3 linked regions of the Elephas maximus indicus genome follow. The protein of the gene in region 3 purifies or fractionates together with the protein of the main gene of each other region. This does not show direct contact. Links are inferred from orthologs where the notes say so. Each region holds a gene or a part of one and is shown on either strand. Other genes may lie near its edges.

The links.
Region 1: the proteins of MAPK3 (region 3) and DUSP6 purify together in Homo sapiens (affinity purification with mass spectrometry; 7 studies listed by BioGRID and IntAct, with this or other methods). This does not show direct contact. The link is inferred for Elephas maximus indicus from reciprocal best matches to the Homo sapiens genes MAPK3 and DUSP6.
Region 2: the proteins of MAPK3 (region 3) and DUSP9 purify together in Homo sapiens (affinity purification with mass spectrometry; 4 studies listed by BioGRID and IntAct, with this or other methods). This does not show direct contact. The link is inferred for Elephas maximus indicus from reciprocal best matches to the Homo sapiens genes MAPK3 and DUSP9.

What each region holds. Positions count from the first base shown.
Region 1 is NC_064822.1:153,391,796-153,399,267, reverse strand, and holds the start of DUSP6 (dual specificity protein phosphatase 6), read left to right. Parts: upstream 1-4,684; 5' UTR 4,685-4,733; coding exon of another isoform or gene 4,734-4,876; 5' UTR 4,877-5,145; coding exon of another isoform or gene 5,146-5,276; coding exon 5,277-5,676; intron 5,677-6,324; coding exon 6,325-6,762; intron 6,763-7,472. Other genes in the region: uncharacterized protein LOC126076469, read right to left, coding at 3,365-4,013, 4,393-4,684, 4,734-4,876, 5,146-5,278. UniProt on the Homo sapiens protein: Dual specificity protein phosphatase, which mediates dephosphorylation and inactivation of MAP kinases. Has a specificity for the ERK family. Plays an important role in alleviating chronic postoperative pain.
Region 2 is NC_064846.1:2,702,177-2,709,035, forward strand, and holds DUSP9 (dual specificity protein phosphatase 9), read right to left. Parts: upstream 2,676-6,859; coding exon 2,300-2,675; intron 1,607-2,299; coding exon 1,151-1,606; intron 891-1,150; coding exon 562-890; downstream 1-561. UniProt on the Homo sapiens protein: Inactivates MAP kinases. Has a specificity for the ERK family.
Region 3 is NC_064830.1:89,118,812-89,125,881, reverse strand, and holds the start of MAPK3 (mitogen-activated protein kinase 3), read right to left. Parts: upstream 3,020-7,070; coding exon 2,856-3,019; intron 1,776-2,855; coding exon 1,593-1,775; intron 1-1,592.

The sequences.
Region 1 (7,472 bases), on a different chromosome or scaffold from region 3:
ATGCCAACACATCTGGGCCTCATAAATCTCAAATGCCTCCAATCTCAGGAATTCCTGCAAAGCTGGAATGCTTCTTCAATAGCCAAGTGAAAAGTTATAATCAAAAGACTTACAAACAAGTCTTTTTTTTTAAGTGTATTGGGTTTATTTGAGCCTTATTAACAACTTTTAAGGAGCTTTTTGGGGGAAACACTAGGAAGAATTGAAGCATGTGTGTTTGGTGCACGCACACACGTACACAGAGAGAAAAGAGGATCTGTGACATTGCTTCTGTGCACTTACAATGGCTCAGAGATGCCTTGCTGAACATAGCCCTCTACATAATGAATGACAGATACCCTCGGAGGCCTCTGCAAGTAAGGAAGCCTGTGGTTTGTCTGGTGGCAAGAACGCTTATCTTCTGAGGGTGCTTTTCTTGGGCGCCTGGCCGATGAGTCAGGAAGGTGAGATTGGAGACAGGGTCACCAGTAACACCGTTTCAGCTTTCTAGAGGAATGAAGCAGTGGTTTTTAAAAAACCATCTTTTGAGTATCTGCTTTATGCCCTACACTTTTCTTATGTTATCTTGGCTGTCCCTACTTCTCAGTCCTTTGACGTGGGTATACATATTCCCCATTTTACATACTGCTGAGTTCCCTTCCCTGCTTTATTTTTCTCCATACATTTTCATTTTCTAATATACTGTATAACAATTGATTTTATTTATCATCTCTCCTCCCTAGAATGTAAACTCCAGGTGTGTCGGTATTCTCATCTGTTTTATTCAAAGCTGCTTTCCTGGCACAAGGAGGGAAGGGAGGGAGGGAGGGAGGGAGAGAGGGAGGGAGGTAGGCAGGCAGGCCCAGAGAGGCTAAGTGACTCTCTCTGTCAGAATACCAGTGAATGACGGAGCTAAGATTTGACCCCAAGCCCACGTACCACGCTGACACACTAGACAATAGTGGCTGTGAGGATTAGAATCTAAGGCAGATTTTAAGGGAGAACACGCATTTAGTGGCTGGTAGACTAATGAAGAGCTGCAGGCAAAGAAAACCAACCCATGTAAAGGCATCAGGGATATAAGCCTAACTTCTGATCCTTGAGATTTGTGGGGCGGGTGCAACATAATATAAGAGGCTGGAAAAGCCTGGCGATCAGCAAAGAAAATGCAGACCTTGAAATCCTTCAAATTTAGGCAACAAACAGCCCTGGGTGGTGAGTATGGTGTCCACAGTGCCCATCATCTGTATATATGGTAATCCTTAAGAGACTGAGAATGACCTGGCTTCAAATCCTGAACCCACTGTTTGCTACTGTGTGACCACAGGCAAATTCCTTAATCTCTGTAAATACGGCTAGTGCAAATGGGTTGTTGAAGACTGACTGAAATTATACACTTGCAAGCACATAAGCACATAAATGGAGACCATGCCCACTACACATCATTTCTATTGTATCAGTGTGGTGTGGCAGCAGCATATGGTGCTTTAAAAGAGGACCCTCGTGGTGCAATGGTTAAGAGCCTGGCTGCTAACCAAGAGGTTGGCAGTTGGAATCCACCAGCTCCTTGGAAACCCTATGGGGCAGTTCTACTCTGTCCTATAGGGTCGCTAGGGGTCAGAACTCACTTGACTTGGCAAGGGTTTTTTTTTTGTTGTTGTTGTTTAGTCCAGAGAAGTTAGAAAGGTAGCATTCTTTTTATTAAGAGTGCTAAAGGATTTTAAGCCTGGTCTAGGGCAGCACCAGGGTACCTGGGTGGTGGAAATGGTTAGCAACCCGCCTGGGACACCTGGGAAGAAAGGCCGGATGACCTGCTTCTGAAAACCCTAGTGAGCACAGGTCTACTATGGCACACATGGGGTCACTATGAGTTGGAATCTACTCAATGCCAACTGGCTTTTTTTTTTTTTTTTTTTTGGTCAGGACAGCACCTGCTTTGCTTGACAGCTGAGTTGGAATAGAATAAACTAGTTAGGGCAGTTTGCGCGGGGGGGCGGGTGGCGGCTGGGGGGCTGGGCAGGCCTCAAAGGGCATCTTTGGGTTGGAAAGAAATGTCCAAAAGGATCCCGATCATTTTGCCGGCTCCCAATTCAGAACAATGAAACTGGTATGAACTAAGCTAAAGCACACCTCCACCATATTAGGGAACTTCATTGTACCCGTTCAATTAACACTGCGACCCTATGAAGCTGCTATCATTATTACACTAATCGTACTAACGCGGAAAACTGCGGTTTCGAACAGTTAGATGATTTAACCAAGGTTACACATCTAAGAAGAGGTGGGGCAGAATTCAAACCCTGGCAGCCTCACTCCCGAGGGCCTCGATGCCGAACGATTAAAGATGCCACAAAGAAACGACATTCCTGTAGCGGTAGGGTTTCACGCAATAGAGAACCATGGGTAAAACTAAACGTTTCGTTATTCAGGTTGGCGAAGTGCTGGGATTGTCCTCCCAAATCTCTGCTGAAGCTCAAGTAACAGCACTTTCAAACTGGGTTTGAGTAGAAACCAACTTCCCTCTCTGCCTTTTCTGTTGGAGATCCTGGATTAAAAGATTGTGCCCATCTCAATTCCGATGCCGGGCGTCCTGCCTCTCCCCACCCCGTCCCCGGGTCCTCGAGACGTTAGTCTCGAAGTGGGAACGTCCCTAACAGCTAGGGGACGGATGAGAGACATCAAATTCACGCAGGCCTCCCCGACTTGGAATGGGCAGATTTCCAGAAGAATCTGCAGAACTGGGATCTTAGTTCCAAATGCTGCCCAAAAAAGGCGCCCTGAGAGGAGCGCGGCAACCCCCACTTTAGCAGAGCGAGCTCCTCCAGGGGCTGTCTGCCTCCACGAGAGCTCCAAAATTGGCAACCTAGTCCTCGCAGCCGCCTTTTTTTAACCAACATTCTCCAAAGTAGTGAAGAGGCGGGTGATTAAAAATGCAAACTGCAGCGGGGGCTTCAGCAGGTAGGCCCAGGAGCGCGGGGCATCGGGCGAGAGGAGACCCCGCGACCTCAGGCGCCCTCAGCTACCGCCCGGGTTGGTGCAGAGGCCGGGAGGAGCGCTCTGAAAACCTTCTCCCCGCCGGCCTCTGCCCCCGCTTCCGCCTCCCAGGCCGCCGCAGGACAATGCGCGGCCTCTTTTCCGCCCAGGCTTAGGGAGGGGACTTGGCCGGATTAGGGCCCGCGCCTTCCGGCCGCGCCGGGCCGTGCCGGCCGCACACAGGTGGTTTTCCGCTCGCGAAGGACGGGCCAGGCCACTTTTATATAACAAAGCGCTCTGCGCGCCCGGAACGCGCCTCTCCGCCGCCGCGGCCCCCGCCCGGCCACGCCTTCATCCGGCCTCCCGCCCCGCCCCGCGACGCCTCGGCCCGGCTAGCTGCTCCCCTGGTTACCTGCTTGCTTGGTAGAGCCGTAGATACCTTCCCCGCGACTCCCCGCCCACCTCGGGAGCCAGGGAGTCCAAGTCGGCACTCCTTTTCGACCCCCCACCCCGTCCCAGGCCGCACGGAAGCCAGAGGCCGGCTCTCGGCCTCCGCACCGGTCCGGGAGATCGAGCAACGCCCGGTGCCTGCCGAGCCGGGAGGTGGTACAGCGGGCAGCGGCAAGGAGCGCAGCGCGCAAGCGCGGCCGGGGCTCCGCGTGTGCCGGGCGCTGGGGGTGGGGGGTGCTGTAGCTTGCGCAGGGAAGGGGGGCCAGGCCAAAGTGGGGGACAATGCCAGGCGGGGTGAAGGCTGCAGCCGGCCGGGTGTAGTGAGGCGCCCCTGGGACATGAGTCCTTGTCTATAGTAACCAGTCGTCCAGTCCGCCAGCTGAGCCCCCGCAGCCTGCAAGCCTTTCGGCAGGACTTCCTTCCCACCTTGCTGATGGCGAGGACGCCGGCTTGGCCCAGCGCGCCCTCGCGCACCTTACCTAGGCAGTCCCACCAGACCGGCTCCTCAGTCGGAAGCCGAGCTCGCTGACCAGAAATGATTAACGAGCGCGACCCCCCCGTGTGCGATGGGTGGCGGAAGGGCGGTGATTTAGGTCCCCAGAACAGTCGTTCTTAACGCCCCACGCCACTAGAGCGAAATAAAACATCAGGCTGCCCAACCAGTTTGCTTTTGCAGCCTCCACTTTTTATTTGATAAATTAAAAGAGTTAAAAAAAAAAAAAAACTTCATTGTGCTTGTTTAGACAACCAGACATTTGTTTGTTTGCTTGCTTTAAAATGTTTCAACCAAGTCCTGATTTGTTTCGAAAAACGTAGGATTAGCATTTAACACTTCATCGGTCACTAAAGCCCAGGCAGTTCACCAGTCCCAACAAAGCCTCGGCTAAAAGAACATCAAGCAAACAGAGCTAGCCTTTTTAAACAGGCAAATAAATAAATGCCACACACTGCCTAAAGAAGTGCGGGGGGAGGGGGAGGGTCAAGGCGAACTCGGGCCCGAGTGAATTTGAAGGGAAAAAGTCAGCTTAAGTTTTCCTAAAGCTACCTCGCGAACATAGGCGTCTCGAACAAGGGCTTTTGTGTCTTCTAATTGCACCATTTGTGCGCAAAAGTTCCGACGCGAAGTGTGAACTCTCAACAAAAGGAAACATGAGACAACTGAAGTGCCCTGGTTTATGTGCCCTGCTCCTCCTCCGCCACCGCCTCCTTTTCTTTCTCCTTCCTCCTGCGGAGCCCGCTGTTGCAGCTTGTTTGCACTGGGGCTTATCCGGAGCGGAAATTCCTTTCCGTTTTTGTGAATGACAAACTCATTAACAATTCATCAACACAACCTGTTCCAGCCGGCCCGTCCCCACGGCAACAGCCCCTTCCGCAGCTCGCTCATTGGCTGACTCCGAGAATGTATCCATTGAGACGCTCGCTGTTTGTATCCATTGAGGAGCAGCCTCGCGCAGGGTTGTGCGAAGGCTGAGACCTAGGGACAGTGAGCAAATCGAGGCTTGAATAATCCGAGGAGAAAGACGCCCGGGTGGATTTGAGGTGCAGCCTTGAAGGGAGGGATTAGGAGCTCCTGGACTTTTTTTCCCCTTCCCTTTCGGTAGCCCGGAGTCCAAATTAATTGGATTTCATTCACTGGGGAGGAACAAAACTGCCTGGGCAGCTCCATTCAGAGAGACCCATTGACAGCCCGGCGCAGAGGGAACCGCCGGCTTCACTTCTGTCTCGCCTTCCCCAACCGCTAACCTCGGCTTGGGAAAGGCGAAGCGGAATCAAACCCTGCTCCGGGAGCGGCGGGCTCGCGCGGCGCGCTCGGCCTATGCCTGCCCCGAGGGGCGTCTGGTAGGCACCCCGCCTTCGCCCGCAGCTCGACCCCCATGATAGATACGCTCAGACCCGTGCCCTTCGCGTCGGAAATGGCGATCAGCAAGACGGTGGCGTGGCTCAACGAGCAGCTGGAGCTGGGCAACGAGCGGTTGCTGCTGATGGACTGCCGGCCGCAAGAGCTGTACGAGTCGTCTCACATCGAGTCGGCCATCAACGTGGCCATCCCGGGCATCATGCTGCGGCGCCTGCAGAAGGGCAACCTGCCGGTGCGCGCGCTCTTCACGCGCAGCGAGGACCGGGACCGCTTTACCCGGCGCTGCGGCACTGACACGGTGGTGCTCTACGACGAAAGCAGCAGCGACTGGAACGAGAACACGGGTGGCGAGTCGGTGCTCGGGCTACTGCTCAAGAAACTCAAGGACGAGGGCTGTCGGGCCTTCTACCTGGAAGGTACGCTCCCGGGGCTCCGCGCGCCACGTTGAGCGGAGGGCGCCCGGGTGTAAGCTACGGGCCGCGGACTGCGGGCGGGACTTACGGACTGAAAATGCCCCTGCTGCGCTCGGCTGGCGCTTTGATGCCACGCTGCCTCGCCAGGGCCCGGCCACCCGGCGGGGGCCGTAAACCGCGTGCGTTCCGCGCCGGCTAGCCTGTCCCGCGCAGAAGCCACCCGCTTCCGGCCGCCGGCACGGGCCGTTCTTTTCCAACGAGTTCTCTGGCTGCCTACTCGCAACATCTTTCTTCTCCTGCTTTCTGTTGATCGATTTTGAATTAAGATTTGCAGAACAGGAGAGGTCGTTTCGGTGCAGATTGGCACTTCTTATTCTTAGTCACTTAAAATATTCGAAAAAGTTGCCATTTTGTGTGCTTCCGGAATGAAAAGAAGAAGAGATCCGAGGGGAAGCGGGCAGTCCGTTCGTTCCTCTCCCGAGGGTGCACATTGAAGTGTATTTCTTTTCTTTTTTGGTTTTATGTGTAGGGGGAGGGGAAGGGGCTTGTAGGGTGCTCGTGGCGTTTCCTGCCGCCAGCCTGCGGTTCTCACAAGCTGTGAAAACTACTACGGGATCTCGGGTTACAGTATTGCTTTTCTCGTCCTGGCAGGTGGCTTCAGTAAGTTCCAAGCCGAGTTCGCCCTGCACTGCGAGACCAATCTAGACGGCTCGTGTAGCAGTAGCTCACCGCCCTTGCCAGTGCTGGGACTCGGGGGTCTGCGGATCAGCTCCGACTCCTCCTCCGACATTGAATCTGACCTTGACCGAGACCCCAATAGTGCCACGGACTCGGATGGCAGCCCGCTGTCCAACAGTCAGCCTTCCTTTCCGGTGGAGATCTTGCCCTTCCTCTACCTGGGCTGTGCCAAGGACTCCACCAACCTGGACGTGTTGGAGGAGTTTGGCATCAAGTACATCTTGAACGTCACTCCCAATTTGCCGAATCTCTTTGAGAACGCAGGAGAGTTTAAATACAAACAGATCCCCATCTCGGATCACTGGAGCCAAAACCTGTCCCAGTTTTTCCCTGAGGCCATTTCTTTCATAGGTGAGGCTAATTGACACTCGTTGCTCTGACTTTTAAATGTAAAACTTCCAGCTATTCATAGAGTTTAACGTTTTAATTGTTCTTGCTATTTGCTAATTCGTTGGACTGCAGGTCTCTAAGGTTCAGAGAGCGTTCTTAATACTGGTTTACCTTCTTGCTAAGCAAAGTGCCTTTTGACGTGCTTGCAGACCACGGGTGTAGTTGAAATGCTGATTGTTTCTCGAAATCTTTAAATTCAGTCATTTGAAAGGGGGAGGAGATGACAGTCATTATCAGACAGAATATTCCCACATCTAAGGGCTAAATAGAAGTACCTTCTGTAGACAGGAATTCTGGCATTACTTAATAGTTTAAAGAAGATCTTGGAGTTATTTTAGGACATCAAGTTAATTGTTGGAAAGCAGTTGAATGCGAAATATTGTCCAGTTCAATGATACTGTGATACTGGTAACAGTGAGATAGTGCCTGTAACCTGAACCCAGCAGGAAGAGCTGTGGGCTGGAAGCCTGGGAGAAGCGAATCTCCAGGCATTGTAATGCATTTCCTATTACAAAGGAACTCATTTTCAGGCCATGTCGACATCCTGTTCCTCCTAATGGGCTGTCCCCTGTGACTTCCCTCTCTCTTTTAAAATGCCTGAATACCCCCATTGTTAGCTGCACAACAGTTGGAGAATAATTTAATAGACCCTTGCAGTCTGCTTGTCTGTA
Region 2 (6,859 bases), on a different chromosome or scaffold from region 3:
CCCAGGCTCACAACCCCAGGCAAACCCCTCTCTACAGCAGCCATTTGGGTACAGGGACAGGCCTGGGAGCAGAGCCCTGTGGCAAACCAGGTGGCCTTAACAGGCACACACCCTTTCAGGAGAGAGAAGATTAGTGGGACGGCCAGGGCCCAGTGAATGGCCCCTCCCAATGAGAACCCCACCCCCACCCCCAAAGAGAAAAGTAACAGTCGCAGCAGAGGCAGGTTCCGGAGCCGAGCCGGTTCAGCCCGAAAGTGGCGGCAGGTTTAATAGGCACGTTTAATAGGCTCCTCGCTGATGTTTCAAGTGGGCAGGACAAGGCTCTCCTCCTCACCCCTGCTGGTGAGACGAGGGAGCCGGGAGCCGAGGGAGCCGGGCCTTTGAGTATCCCAGGCCCCAGCCCCTGCCTCTTTCCACCGCGCCATGTGAGGTATTGTGCTCCCTCCCCCAGCCTCCTGCCTACAGCTGAGCCCCCTCCCCGAGTCCCACCCCACCCGCCCCCTCCCCCGCCACGTGAGGTGGTCAGGAGCACCCGTTGAGAGGCGGTGGGCATGGGGGGCCTTATGTGGGGTCCAGCTCAAAGACGCCATCGCTGGTGGGGGTTGTGAAGAAGGAGGGTGGGTCATTGGAGGTGGTGGATCCCTGCCCCCCACTGTCGCGCCCCTGCGAGCGCCTCTCCTCCAGCCTCAGGCTTCGCTCGAAGTCCAGCAGCTGCCCCATGAAGTTGAAGTTGGGGGAGATGTTCGACTTCTTCCTCTTGACCAGGTCATAGGCATCATTGAGGGAGAGGTGGAGCTTCTGCATGAGGTAGGCCACGGTGACAGTGACGGAGCGGCTGACCCCAGCCAGGCAGTGGACGAGCACCCCGCAGTTCTGGGACAAGGCCTCATCTAGGAGGAGCCAGGGGAGGGCAGCCTGCCTGAAGCAAAGGTCCTCCCAGCCCCCGCTTGCCCTGTGACCCAGTGGCCATGCCAGGTCAGGCCTCTGGGAGCTGGCCCCAGCCCTGCGCACCACCTTGAAGTTGCCATCTTGCTTTCTGGGGAAGGGCAGCTAAGTGGCCACCTGGTCTGCCTTACAGAATGGGAGGAATTCTCTGAGGAGGGACCGGGAATCAGGTCTGGGGGGTAAGGGGGGACAAGGGGTGACTCACCAATGAACGCGATGGCCTCTGGGAAGAACTGGGACAAGTTCTGGCTCCAGTGGTCTGAGATGGGGATCTGCTTGTAATGGAAGTCGCCGTTCTTCTCGAAGAGGTTGGGGAGGTTGGGGGTGACGTTGAGAATGTAACGGATGCCCAACTTGGCCAAGCTCTCCAGGTTGGCTGAATCCCGGGCACTGCCCAGGTAGAGGTTGGGCAGGATCTGGACAGGAAAGGATGGCAGCAGCCCCGCTGGGGGAGGTGTGGCACCCTCTGAATCCAGGCCGAAGCTTGTGGGGTCACGTTCCGGCTCAGATTCTGCGTCAGAGCAATCGGAGCTCAGGTACAGGCCGCCTAGCCCCACGACGGGCACTGGCCCGGGTGCCTGGGCTGTGCTGGGGCCGCCATGGCCCTGGAGGCTGGTCTCACACAGGTGAGGGCACTCGGCCTGGAATCGGCTGAAGCCACCTGTGCAGGGAGAGGGAGGGTCCTGCTCACCTGGCTGGGGATAGGGAGCTAACCCCAGATGCCCCCAAAGGGAATGAGAAAGCCTGCAGCTTGATCTATACTGGTGTCCTCATGTGGATCAGGAGTCGCCCCACAGGCTGTGGGCACCCCCGCCACCACCCTGAATCTGCAGCTGCGGCTGCTGTTGCAGAAGGAGCCCAGGGAGACTGACCCAAAGTGGACCATATTCAGAAGGGAGCAATGGGCGCAGACCCAATGACCCTCCTTGGCCACCAACTGAACTGAAGGGGATGGGAAAAACTGGTCCTGTAGGCTCAGGGGAGCCCTGTTCCTGCCCTGGATGTTGGGGAGCAGCTGCATTCCCCCTCTCCCAGCCCCGCCATGACTGTATGCCCCAGAGCCTGGGAGCTGGTCTCCTGCTGCCCTAAGAGGTGGCGTGACAACCATGGGGAGGCCGGAGAATGTGCCAAGCTAGGTCAGGTCAGCCCAGTTCTCCTCATTTTCCAGACTGAGAAATCGGGGCTCCCAAAGGTGAAGGACTGGGCCAAGGTCATGCTCAGACCCCCAGCCCCCAGCTGCCTGGCAGGGAGTCAGAGAGGGAGTCTTACCTCCACTTTGCCCAAGGACGAATTAATTATGAATCCCCAGGGCGGGAGGGGCCCTACCTCCCCAGGCTGGGCTGCAGACACTTACCCTGTAGGTAGTAGGCTAGGTAGCCTTCCTCCCGCAGCTTCTGGAGCAAGGTGCCTAGCACCGACTCGGCTTCCCACTCCTCAACGGCCTCAGCTTCAGCCTCCCCGCGCCGCCGCCGCCCGCCGCCCTGGTCATACAGGAGCACGGGGGCAGGTGGGGGCGGCTGCAGCGGCGGCCCAGGCAGCAGCGCGCGCACCGACAGGCTCCCCCGGCGCAGGCGACGCAGCAGCAGCGCTGGCAGGGCCACGCTCAGCGCCCCACCGATGCGCGCCGCCTCGTATAGCTCACGGCTGCGGCAGTCCAGGAGCAGCAGCTGCGGCCGTGGGGGCGACAGCTCGTGTCGCAGCCACAGGCAGGAGCGACCCAGGCCCTCCATCAGCCCCTTGCGCTTCTGGCCACCGGCACTGCGGAGGAAGGGGAGGTGGCTGTGAGCCCAGGCGGGCGAAGTCGCCTCTGCTTCCCAAGGCAGGCGTCCGGGCCCGCGAGGCACCTCGCCATCGCCGGCTCCTCTCCTCCCACCACCCCAGCCAAGACGCACAGGAGGGCGCCCCGAAGGAAAACACGCGGTGTCCGGCACTGCTCCCTGCTCTTGCGAGAGGAAGGCTGGCCATCTGGTGGCCCCTTAGACGGCTGTGGATCCCTCGCCAGTCCCTCCAGGGACACCACAGGGCCACAGCCACGGCCCTTCACACCCCCTTTCTGCGTCTTTCAGCCTGCCAGCGATCACTCCCCAAGTTCAGGCTTTTGAGTTTGGGTGCGTGTGTGTGCTGGGGGCGGGGGGGAGTTCAAGGCCCAGTTCCCCCCGTCCACGGCCAGGCAGGCCCGGGCACAGAGGTGACACCCAGGTGACGGGCCTCGGCGGGCCCTCTTGGAGCTGAGGTGTCCTGATTTCCCCAGGGAAGACAGGACAAAAGGAGAGAGACCTGGAGTTGGGATCAGGCGGCGAGCAGCCACTTTCAGACGTCGTGGCCACAGCGGGGCGTGCGGCGCTGTCCCCGGGCGGCGAGTCCCCAGGCCCGGCTGCTGGGCAAGAGGCAGGGCTGCTGAGGAGGCGCGCACGTGGAAGGCCAGGCCGGCTCTGCCAGCGCTCCCGCCACTTGCTGGCCCTGGACCCAGCTTCTACTCTGGAAGCCGCTCCTTTTGGATGCGGAGCCGCAGCTCAGAGGGGCGGGGCAGGGGCGGGCAGGGGAGGGCTCAGGGTGGCCAGGGAGCCAACAGGTTCCAGCGAGAGCAGCTGGGTGGGCCCTGCAAGTGGCGCGCTAAGCTGGGGCTCCCACCAAGGCGGGACACGATGGGGCAGAGGCCAAGGGCAGTCAGGGGCCCAGGAAGGACTGGTCAAGCACAGCTCCCCTGGTGGCGCCACTCGGCCAGGAGGTGGGGGAGGGGTGGGGTGAGGCCCAAAGCCCAGCGTCCCTGCCCCAGGGGTTGCCTCCAACCCAACTGACTCAGTGAGTCTGGACCTCAGCGGCACCATCTGTATAGTGGATGCACGACAGCCACCACCTTGGGCTACTGTGGGATGCCGCTGACATCGTGGAGGGGAGGAAGAACCGGGATCGGAAACCCACCACTGTCTTTGGCCCAGAGCTCCCACCAAGGGCTAGGCAGGCAGAAGGCAGCCCCTAGGCTCCCCCCGTGGGCTTCAGTGGGACAGGCCTGGCCGAAGGCACCCAGAGGCTCTGACCTCCAAACCCCACCCCACCACACTCTGCTCCTACCACATTGCTCAACTCCTCAAACACATCCACCTTCTCAGCCAGCATATCCACCCAGTCACCCCGGCCAGAATCCTGGGAGTCACCCCTTAATCAGCTCCCCGCTGCCAGAACTCAGCCTTTCATTCAGCAAGGGCCAGTGGGCTCCATCCCATCCATAGGAACAGGGTGATAAGCCAGGCAGAACACACGGTGCTCAGAGTCTAGCAGGACAGACCAGCAGCAAACACAATAATGTCAGGTTGGGACAAGTGCTGAGACAATGAAACGGGACAATGTGATGGGGGGTTCTAAAAAGGTGATCGGGTTTGTCCCTTCTCTGCTTAAAATCCATGAAAAGCAAATCACAGTGTTGAAGGAAAATGTGCAGCACGTAAGACAAAGCTCGGAAATCAATCAGAAGCTTAAGACCAGGATTGATAAATGGGCAGGAATAAAAGAGGAAATGCAACTGGTTCGAAAATGTTTGGGGAAATGTTCAAGCTCAGGCATGGAGGAAAGCAAACCCAAAAAACCAGGTAACACTCCCCACCAACTACAGTAGCAAAATCAAAGCATTTCAAAATAAGAATGCCTAGTGCTGGCAAAGTTGCTGTGCAACTGGTATGCTGCTGTATTGGCGGGTAAAACCCTATTGGAAACTAATTTGGCAATATGTATCAAGAAAAATAAAAATATCCTTTCCCTTTGACCACTTCTGGGAATCTACCTGAAGAAAATAAGCTAAAAGAAGGAAAAGCTATCCACAGCAGGACGGACACCACAAAACGTTTTTTTAAGGCGTGAAAAATGCCAAGCAACCTGAAGTCCAACGTTTAGAGCAGTTATGTACGTATGCCTGTATGTCTGTTGAAAACACTGGTCTCATGAGCCAATAGAGCAAGATGAGAAAATGCTTGGGAGGTACTGCTGAGTGGAAGAGAACAGATCCCAGAAAGCTAGGCCTCCAGTTTGCCCCTCCCCCAGTGGGCCTCCAGCCTCGGACTTCTGGAGCACTGTCAGTGGACTGATCTCTAGCCATGCCCCATCATGTCCCTGCTTAAGAACATGCAAAGACCTACCCTCCCTGGCCTCCAGGGCGGTTTTACTTAAACCGCCTCCATGGGGGGAGGGTGGCCTCAGGCAGCTGGGCCATGTCCCCCTTTCTCTCTTGCACCTTGGTCCCTGCCTCCAGCATAGGTCTTCCTCTGCCATCTGTCCAGATTCTGCCCATTTTTTTGGACCCCCCCACAAGGCACTCTCCTTCAGGCATCCAAGAAAAACAGGAAGTCTCACGGGCCAGCTGTGGTCTCCCTCCTTGGTGCTCCCTGAGGCTGTCACTCCAAGAGCCTGCAGATTGGGGGCTCATTTGCCCCTTTCTCGGTGCGCTCCTGGGGCTCTTGTCTCTCACATCCTATCTCCAGGGAGGCATATGTGGGCACCCGCTGCAGCTGGGGACAGGACCTTGGGATGGGCAGGGGCTGAAGGCACCAAGGAGATTGCCCAGCATAAGTCTGCTGTGGCCAGCGAGGAATTAATTGGAGAGACATGTGCCCTGACTGGTCCTGCCATGGGGACTCAGTGTAGTTGGAGAGAGTGTCACCAAGCTCTGGGAGATAGGAGCTCCTGAAGCGTCTAGGGTGCTCTCTGGACAGGACCCCCTGGGGGTGACTGGAGCTGCAGGGGATGCCTAGGTCCCAATAACCCCCTGGGAGGACGGAGCCTGTGTGTCCCAAAAGCTCCATTGCGGGTCTATTGCTCCAGACCCCTGCTGGCGAGGCCTCCCACGGAGGAGCCGGTGGCCGGCTGTGCCTCGGTGGTTCCCGGCAGCCCGGGGAGGGAGCATTTAGGAGTGGGGGGGATTCAATCTCGAAAGTGAGTGCTCGGCTCAGTGCCGGCGCCAGCAGCGCCCGCAGCGCCAGCAGCAGGACGAACGAGAACCTGTTGCCATCTCCGCACTGCAGGGCTGAGCGCCGCCAAGCGCCCCCCCACCACGCCGAGGCCTCCCCGACTCCGGCCCCCTGCAGTGCCTGCTTGGGTCGCCGGCCCTGCCTCGCGGCCGCTCCCGGGAAGGCTCGGGCAGGGGAGCGCGCCGGGCGCCCGGGCCTCGCCAGGCCCGCTCTGGCGGGCGGAGCCAGGCTGCCGGCGGCGCGCTCGCCGCTCTCCGCAGGGTGGGCGCTGCACTCGCCGCCCCCGCCCTCTCCCTCTCAGGCGGCCCGGCGCGGCCAGACCCACCGGATGCCCCTGCCTTAGCCCCACCTGGCCAGCAGACCCTGGAGGCCGTAGGGGCGCCGCCGCCCTCAGGCCCCGCGCATACCGCCTGTGCCCTCTAGTCCGGGAGTCTCCGGAGAGCGGCGCCCCTCACCCCGAAATGCACCGTTCCCACCAGGCACAGTGGCAGGATTTCGGCTGTGGCAGCCTGGTCACATGGCCAGGAGTACAACTCCCAGAGACAGCGCTGCTGCCAAATTCAGTCTCTTTGCCACCAAATCCACTTCCTGCTGGGGATTGCTTTCTGGTTTTCCTGGTCTGTCCCCTGGCGGGACTGGGAGCTCCTCCAAGGCAGGCCAGTGTGTGCCCGGCCCCCAGCTGGCCCCAGCCCCACTGCCGACGCTCAGGAAGAAATGCTTGCTGACAAAGAAGACATGAATGAATGAATGAATGAAACCAATTGTTGCATGAGAGAGCCCAGGAGGGTGCCTCGTGCTTTTCCCTCTGCCTGTCTTCCCCCTCCCCCGCACCCAGACACGCACAAGCACACGTGCACACCCAGCCCTCCCCCACCACACCGCAGACAGGCACATGCACAGCACGCAGACCCCGGCCTTCAGGAAGCCACCTACTACGTGCTGGGAACAGTTGGTGC
Region 3 (7,070 bases):
GCAAATGAAGGAAATAACTATTCTTTAGAGGGTGGTTGTGAGGACAGGATGACAAAACCCATGTAAAACAGTCAGCCCAGTGTTTGACACATAGTAAGTAATCAGCAAACATCAACTATTATAAATGTCCGTGCCACATGGCTGTTGAGAGGGTTAAATGAGATAATGCATGAACACCATCTGGCATGCAATAAATATTTGCTTATTTTTAAATTCCTGCCTGATGGGAATGGTTTGCGCAAGAAAAATGAGGAGATACTCCCAACAGCACACTCCTACTCAAAGAAGAGTCGTTGGCCAAAAATCAGAAGATTGAGGAATAAATGTACATTTACATTTTAAGATAAAACAAATATTAAATATAAATAAATGCCATTTGGCTTGTCTCTGGAGGAATAAGTACTGAATATCTTTTAGAATCAGCCTCAAAAGGGCCTTCTGAGGACATGTGGACCAACCCTGCTGCTTTAGAGATGGGGAGACCCAGCAAGAGGCAGTGACTGGCTTAAGGTCACACAGCAAGTCAGGGTAAGCACAGAGATTCCCTGTCCAGTCTGTGGTGGAGGCTGCAGACTCTACAGGGCAAATCCCCACTCTTGGGTGGAGGCTGGGGCCCTGGTGATGCAGTGGTTAAGAGCTACAGCGAGCTATGGCTGCTAACCAAAACACTGGCAGTTTGAATTCACCAGCCACTCTTTGGAAACCCTACGGGGCAGCTCTATCCTATTCTACAAGGTTGCTGAGTTGGAATCAACTCGATGGCAACAGGTTTGGTTTTTATTTACTTTGGGTGGCGGTCTGGGATGGGAGAAGGGGTGATGGTATCATAAGCTGCTGAAAACAGAAGCCATCGAGCCAGGCAGGAAGTGGACAACAAACCAGGAAAGCAATATCAGAGGAGGCCAACAAAAGTTAGGCTGTCCCTCCCTGGGCAAGGTTCAAGTTCAGAGGTGACTTGGGTGGGGTTCTGAGAGGGAAATCCCAGAGAAAAGACAAGTTCTTATTTGGGAAAGGGGAAGAGGCAGCAACAGAAGCACTTGATTTTGGACTTTCTGAGTCTCCTTTTCCTCATCTTTGAAATAGAGCTCACAAGGCCCATCTCTTAGGGCAGTTGGGAGGGAGAATAAGAACCATCAAAGCACTTGGCAGGCACAGCTCTCTACACATAGTAGGCCCTCAAGGAAAGGCAGTTTTCTTCCTTCCTGCCTTCGTTCCAGTCTGGGGTCTAGAGAGCAAAGAATCAGTCTGTTAAGCAAGAACCAACTGTGGGCAGAGGCTGGATCATGTCACAGAACTGCAGATGTCAGAAGACAAAGCTCCCATAGAGACTATCTCACCCAGCCCCCTACTGAGGCACAGGGCAGAAAAGGGACTAGCCCAAGGCTACATGGCCTGGCTGCAGCAGGCCAGGATTCAATGAAGGCCCCAATCCTTTAACACTCTGTGTGTGGCCTCTCGGGCCAGAAAGTTTCTTTTACTGGGTTTGTTCTGGAAGGTGGTAGGGAAGAAGGAAGCAGAAAGAATGCCAATGCTGTCCCCAGCCCAGCTCCAAGGCCACGCCTGGCCAGCCATCCGGCAGAGGTGAAGGATACACGTCCCGCATTGCTTCCAGGGTGGGTGCCCGCAGAATGTCTCGGATGCCAATGACATTCTCATGGCGGAAGCGTAGCAAGATCTGGATCTCCCGCAGCGTGCGCTGGCAGTAGGTCTGATGCTCAAAGGGGCTGATCTTCTTGATGGCCACACGAATCTTGCGCACGTGGTCATAAGCTGAGCTGAGAGGGCCAGAGAGATGTTGATGGTGTGGCCTTATAAAGGGGGAGTCCAGGACTGGTAGCCCCACCCAGGCCTTGGCAGGGAGGGAAGGGAGCAGGAGAGGGCTCTGGTCAAGCCATAAACAATGATGGTTCCTTCCTGCTGGGGAGGCCTGGGATCTCTAGGGAGAAGGCAGGGGACCAGCCAGGCAGCCCTTTGGTGACTTCACAAACGGAGGAAGAGGCTGACCGCTCGCTGACATCCCCTATTCTCACCCCCCTTTCATTCTAGTTGCCCTGAACCTTCATCTTCCTCTTCCCACAGGGTGTGCGCCCTGAACCCCAGACAGGTCCAGGGATGGAGATGAATAGAGGACATACAGTGAGGCAAATACAGTGAGACGGAGGGGGCCATAGGAAGGGCTGGAAAGAAGGGACAAGGCAGGGGTTGGTGTCAGGGTGAAGTACCTGGGCAGTAGAGCTGTTCCCGCAGGAACAGAAGCCCAGAGCAGCCGGTGAGGCTGGGAGAGTTCACAGACCCCTCCCAAAGGATGCAGGGAGGCACTCCTGGCCCTCATCCCTCACTGGGCCTCTGGCCCCCAGCCCAAAGCCCTGCCCCACCCTGCCCAGCCCTAAGCGCTACTCTTCTCTCCCAAACTGTTTTGGCACAGTCTCAGTGGGAGAATCCCAGGCATCCTCTCTCCAAAGAAGGTCCTTTACTCCCCCTTAGGATACTACCTCCCCAAGAACACTTAACCTCTTCGGCCCCGGGTCTCCACCCGTTCCTCCCAAGGTCCCCACAGGTCCCCTCGATACACTCAGAAGCCCCTCCCTTCAGTATGGAATGATCCATTCAAGGCCTCCAAGCCCCCTCCCACTGGAACGCACGCAGCGCCCCCTCCCCCAGAAGGCACTCAAAGGTCCCCTCCCCGGGACGCTCCCCGAGCCTCCTCAGTCCCCTGCCTCTTCGGGACGCTCGAGTCTCCACATCTCAGGAAGTACTCAGCACCCCTTCCCCTCTCCTCCCCCACTCTCGGAGCCCCCTCCCCTTAAATCACCCCGATCGCTTAAACAGCCCCCTCCCCTGGGACGCCCCCTCACCTGACCATGCCGTACGCGCCCTCGCCGATGTACTGTAGCTGCGAGTAGCGAGGGCCCACGTCGAACGGCTGCCCCTTTACTACCTCCACTTCCCCCGGGACCCCCAGGCAGACCCCATCAGCTCCCCGGGGCTCCCCGCCCCCCTCAGTCGCCGCCGTCGCCATCTCCACTCCTCCCCTCCCACCTCCCCCCGGCGGCTGCGCCCGAGGCCCCGCCCCTTCCCGCCCGCCCTGTCACCGCGGAGCGGCGCGCGCCGGGTCCCGCCCCCGCCCCGCCCCTGGCGCCCCGCCCCGCCCCTGGCGCCCCGCCCCCTGGCTCCCGCGCAGCTCGAGGCTGGGCCGCGGGCGTCACGTGGTCCGCTCCTGAGCGCGCCCAGATTGTCTCCTGCGGGCGTTGTGGTCCTCGGCGCCCGCGGGCTCCACGGGGCGGTCTTAGGGCTGGTCCGGACCGCCCCCCCCGGGGAGAGACGAGCCCAGTACGGCTGGCCGGTGAACTTGTCCCGAAGCCGTCCAGCGGGTGTGTGGTGCAGCCGGGACGTGTCGCTGACTTCCCGAAGGAAGGGCTGCGGCCGAGGCGCGCCCAGGGGTTCGAGATGGAACCCTCGCCGGCCCCTTGTCGTTTGGCCAGGCTCGCCCCTGATAAGCCTCGGTATTTCACAGTAGCCCTGCAAGATGGCTTCATCACAGATGTGGCTTGCCTCCAGAGGGGCCTGGTGACCTGGAGCCTTTCAGCTCAAGTGAGAGCTGGTGAACCCAGGGGTCCAGATTCCCAGCGTCTGGCTTGTCGACAGAGCCTGTGGAAGTGGGCTGTGGGTACCTCTCCTCTGCCAGCAACTGCAGCAGTGGCGGTCTGCTGCTTGATTAGTGCCCGGAGCACAGATAGCCCCAGCCAACTTTTACTTGGGAGGCAGGAGAGAGGCAAGAAGGCCGCATGCAGAGGTGACTGGGTTTGATTAAGATAACACTATCTGGATTTTCCCCAAAACCGCAAAATTGGAAACGTTTTTGTTGCCATTGGATTTGGCAAAATGGGAACCCTGGCAAGATGAGCATCGTGAACCTGTACCAGACACTGCAGTTTACAGAATGCTTGGATCATTTCAGTTTAGGACAACCCTAAAATATAAGTGTCATCCGATTTTCTTAGCTGAATGAGCAGAGGCCATGTCTGTCCATTACTGTATCATCCCCCCCTCCCCGTGCCTGGCACTGAATAGATGACGTTTTACAGATGGGGAAGCTGAGACTAGGATTAACTGACTTGGGTAAACAGTCACCTCACGGTGATGACAGCTCTGAGACTCAAAATGATGTCTCCTGATATGGAGGCAGAAGCTTTTTCTGATCCCGTACTTAGTCCCTCAGAGTCAGACTGTTAGAACTGAAGAAAAGACCCTCAGAGCATCCAGTCCACCTCCCTCATTTCACACTGAAAATATACGTTGGAAGCTTCACAAAAGGAGACATCTCCTAGGCTTCAGTAAGTAAGGATGTTTTTAGATCCTTGTATGTGTTCCAGACCAAAAGGCAAAACGGAATCGTAATTAGAATTCTGAAATTGCTCATCATTAGACCCACGGCCAGGCACTCCAACTCTGATGGATGAGTTGCTGATTCCCGACACCCCATAACTCAATGACGGTTCAAGAGGTGCAAATTAGATCAAAGTTTTTTCAGCTATTCATCTGATAAACTATTCAACGTCACTGTGTGCAAAGCTCTGAGCTAGGCACTGCAGCTGGTGAAAGATTGTAGTATGAATTAGTGGTTAAGAGCAGGAGTTCTCTGGAGCCGAATTGCCCAGGTTAGAATCCCATTTTTGCCACTCACTTGCTGTGTTACCCTGGACAAATTACCTACTGGCCTCTCTGTTCCTGGAGTTTATTATCTACTGAAGAGATAAAATGTATACACATAAGTCAGTTGGATACAAGATAAATGGATGTAACATCTAGTGTGAGCTCAGGGGTGGGAGAGATCACTCTTTCTGGGAAAGTGAGGGAGGGATAATGGAGGAGGTGGCATTGAGCCATTGGAAAAACAGTGGCATTTCAGCATGCCTGGCTATTTTTTTTTTTTGGCTAGAGGAAAGGTGTCAAGGAGGAGGAGCAGCCTGAGCCAAGGCACAGGGTCGGGAGCATGCCTTGTCCAGTGTGACTGGGGTTTAAAGCAGTAAGGGGAGTTTAGGCTGGCTGGGTGCGGCCAGATCGAGTGAGGGAAGGTCTTGGGTTCTGGCAAGGAGTTTGGATGTTACTCAGTGAGCAGTAAGAGCCTTTGAGGGATTTTTGCCAGATCATTTTGCAACTGCAGGAGAATATAGTGACTCAGAGAAAACACCGTGGAGTTCAGCACTAAGCCAGGTTTCCTGAGTGGGAGTGTTTCCCGGCATAGGAAAGGCTGGTGTATCCGGTGAGGCCGCCTGCAACCTCAGGCTGCACTTGTCTCATTGAAGAGAGTGACCGAGATTGCCCTCTAGTGGCTGTGGTTGGTATTTCCTCGGACGGTTGGACTGGGATTTCTTAGTCCATTGAACTGATTCACATTCAACTGATAGAAACTGAGCATCTATTCTGTGCCAGGCACTTTTATATACATTAGCTCCTGTAATCCTTACAGAAGCCGTATGAAGTCAATACTATTATTTCCTTTTAAGAGAAGAGAAAAACAGAGGCTTATTGAATTGTAGAGTTGGAAGGGACCCCAGGAATCATTTTCCTCTCCAGGTAGTTCATTATGTCCCACCCAGCTCACTGCTTTGTTTGAGTTTTTTAGCAGCTTCTAGTTGGTTATCTCTGTCCTCTGTATTTACCCAGATTAAATCTTAAACCCAGTTCTTAACTTTTTGTGATTTCAAGGACTGGAACCTTGTTTTTTCAGAGCACAAATGAACCTTCCCATTTCAACTAACTCCACTAATCATCACTAACCGAGAAGGTAGCAAGTACGCAGAAATAGAGGTCAGAGGGCATTTACAAATTTGTCAAGATTTAAGTACTGACCATTTTTTAAGGGAAGGGTGAAGAAGAATTGACGCCTTCGAATTTTGGTGTTAGCGGAGAGTATTGAGTATAGCATGGACTGCTAAAAGAACGAACAAGTCTGTCTTGGAAGGAGTACAGCCAGAATGAAAGCAGAAAGAAGCAAGGATGGTGAGACTTTGTCTCACATGTTGTGGACATGTTGTCAGGAGGGACTAGTCCCTGGAGAAGGACATCATGCTTGGTAAAGTGGAGGGTCAGTGAAAAAGAGGAAGGCCCCTCAATGAGATGGACTGCCACAGTAGCTGCAACAATGGGCTCAAGCATAACAAGGATTGTGAGGATGGTGCAGGACAGGGGCAGTGTTTCGTTCTTTTGTACATAGGGTGGCTATGAGTTGGAACCGACTGGATGGCACTTAATGACAACAACACTTTTTTTTCTTAATCTAAAAAACCTCTGCTGTAGTTTTCTGATGACACCTCTTCAAATATTGGAGAATATCTATGGCCAAACATCTCTCCTCAGGAATAGGCCTTCTTCACCTAATCCTTTCTCTGAAATCTTTGTCGCCACCTCTGCCAGTCCCTACTGGCATCCTTCCCTGGGCTCCTCTTCTCACCAGCCTTTTTTCTCTTCACCATCCCCCTTAGTCACATCACACTCCTATGGCATCAACTTTTTGCTTTATGTAAAATCTCTACCCTTAGCCATTGCCTTTCTCCTTCATCCTGGTGCCAGATTTCCAGTGTTTGCTGCACAGCTTTACCTGGAGGCTAGCTGATACAAATATTCAGCATGTCCAATGAAAGTCATCCTCTTTATTTCCAAACCTGTTTCTCTTCCAGACTCTATTAGCTTTAGTATTACCACCATTCTCTCAGGATCAAACCTTGTCGTTTTTCATTTTACCATTTCTCTCCGCATCCAACCAATTTCTTCTCATTTTATTGCCAAAGCCATCCCCTCTACAACTGGTCAGACTGTAATTTCATATTATCATATTTCTACTTTTTAACTTTTCAGTTTAAATAGTTTTAGATTGACCAAAAAGTTGCAAAAAATAGTTCAAAGGATCTCCATATACCCTTCGCCACACTCTCTAAATGTTAACATTTTAAATAAACGCAATACAATGATCAAAATCAGAAAATTAACATATTATCTGATCAGGAAACTCTGGTGGCATAGCCGTTAAGAGCTATGTCTGCTAACCAAAAGGCTGGCAATTCGAATCT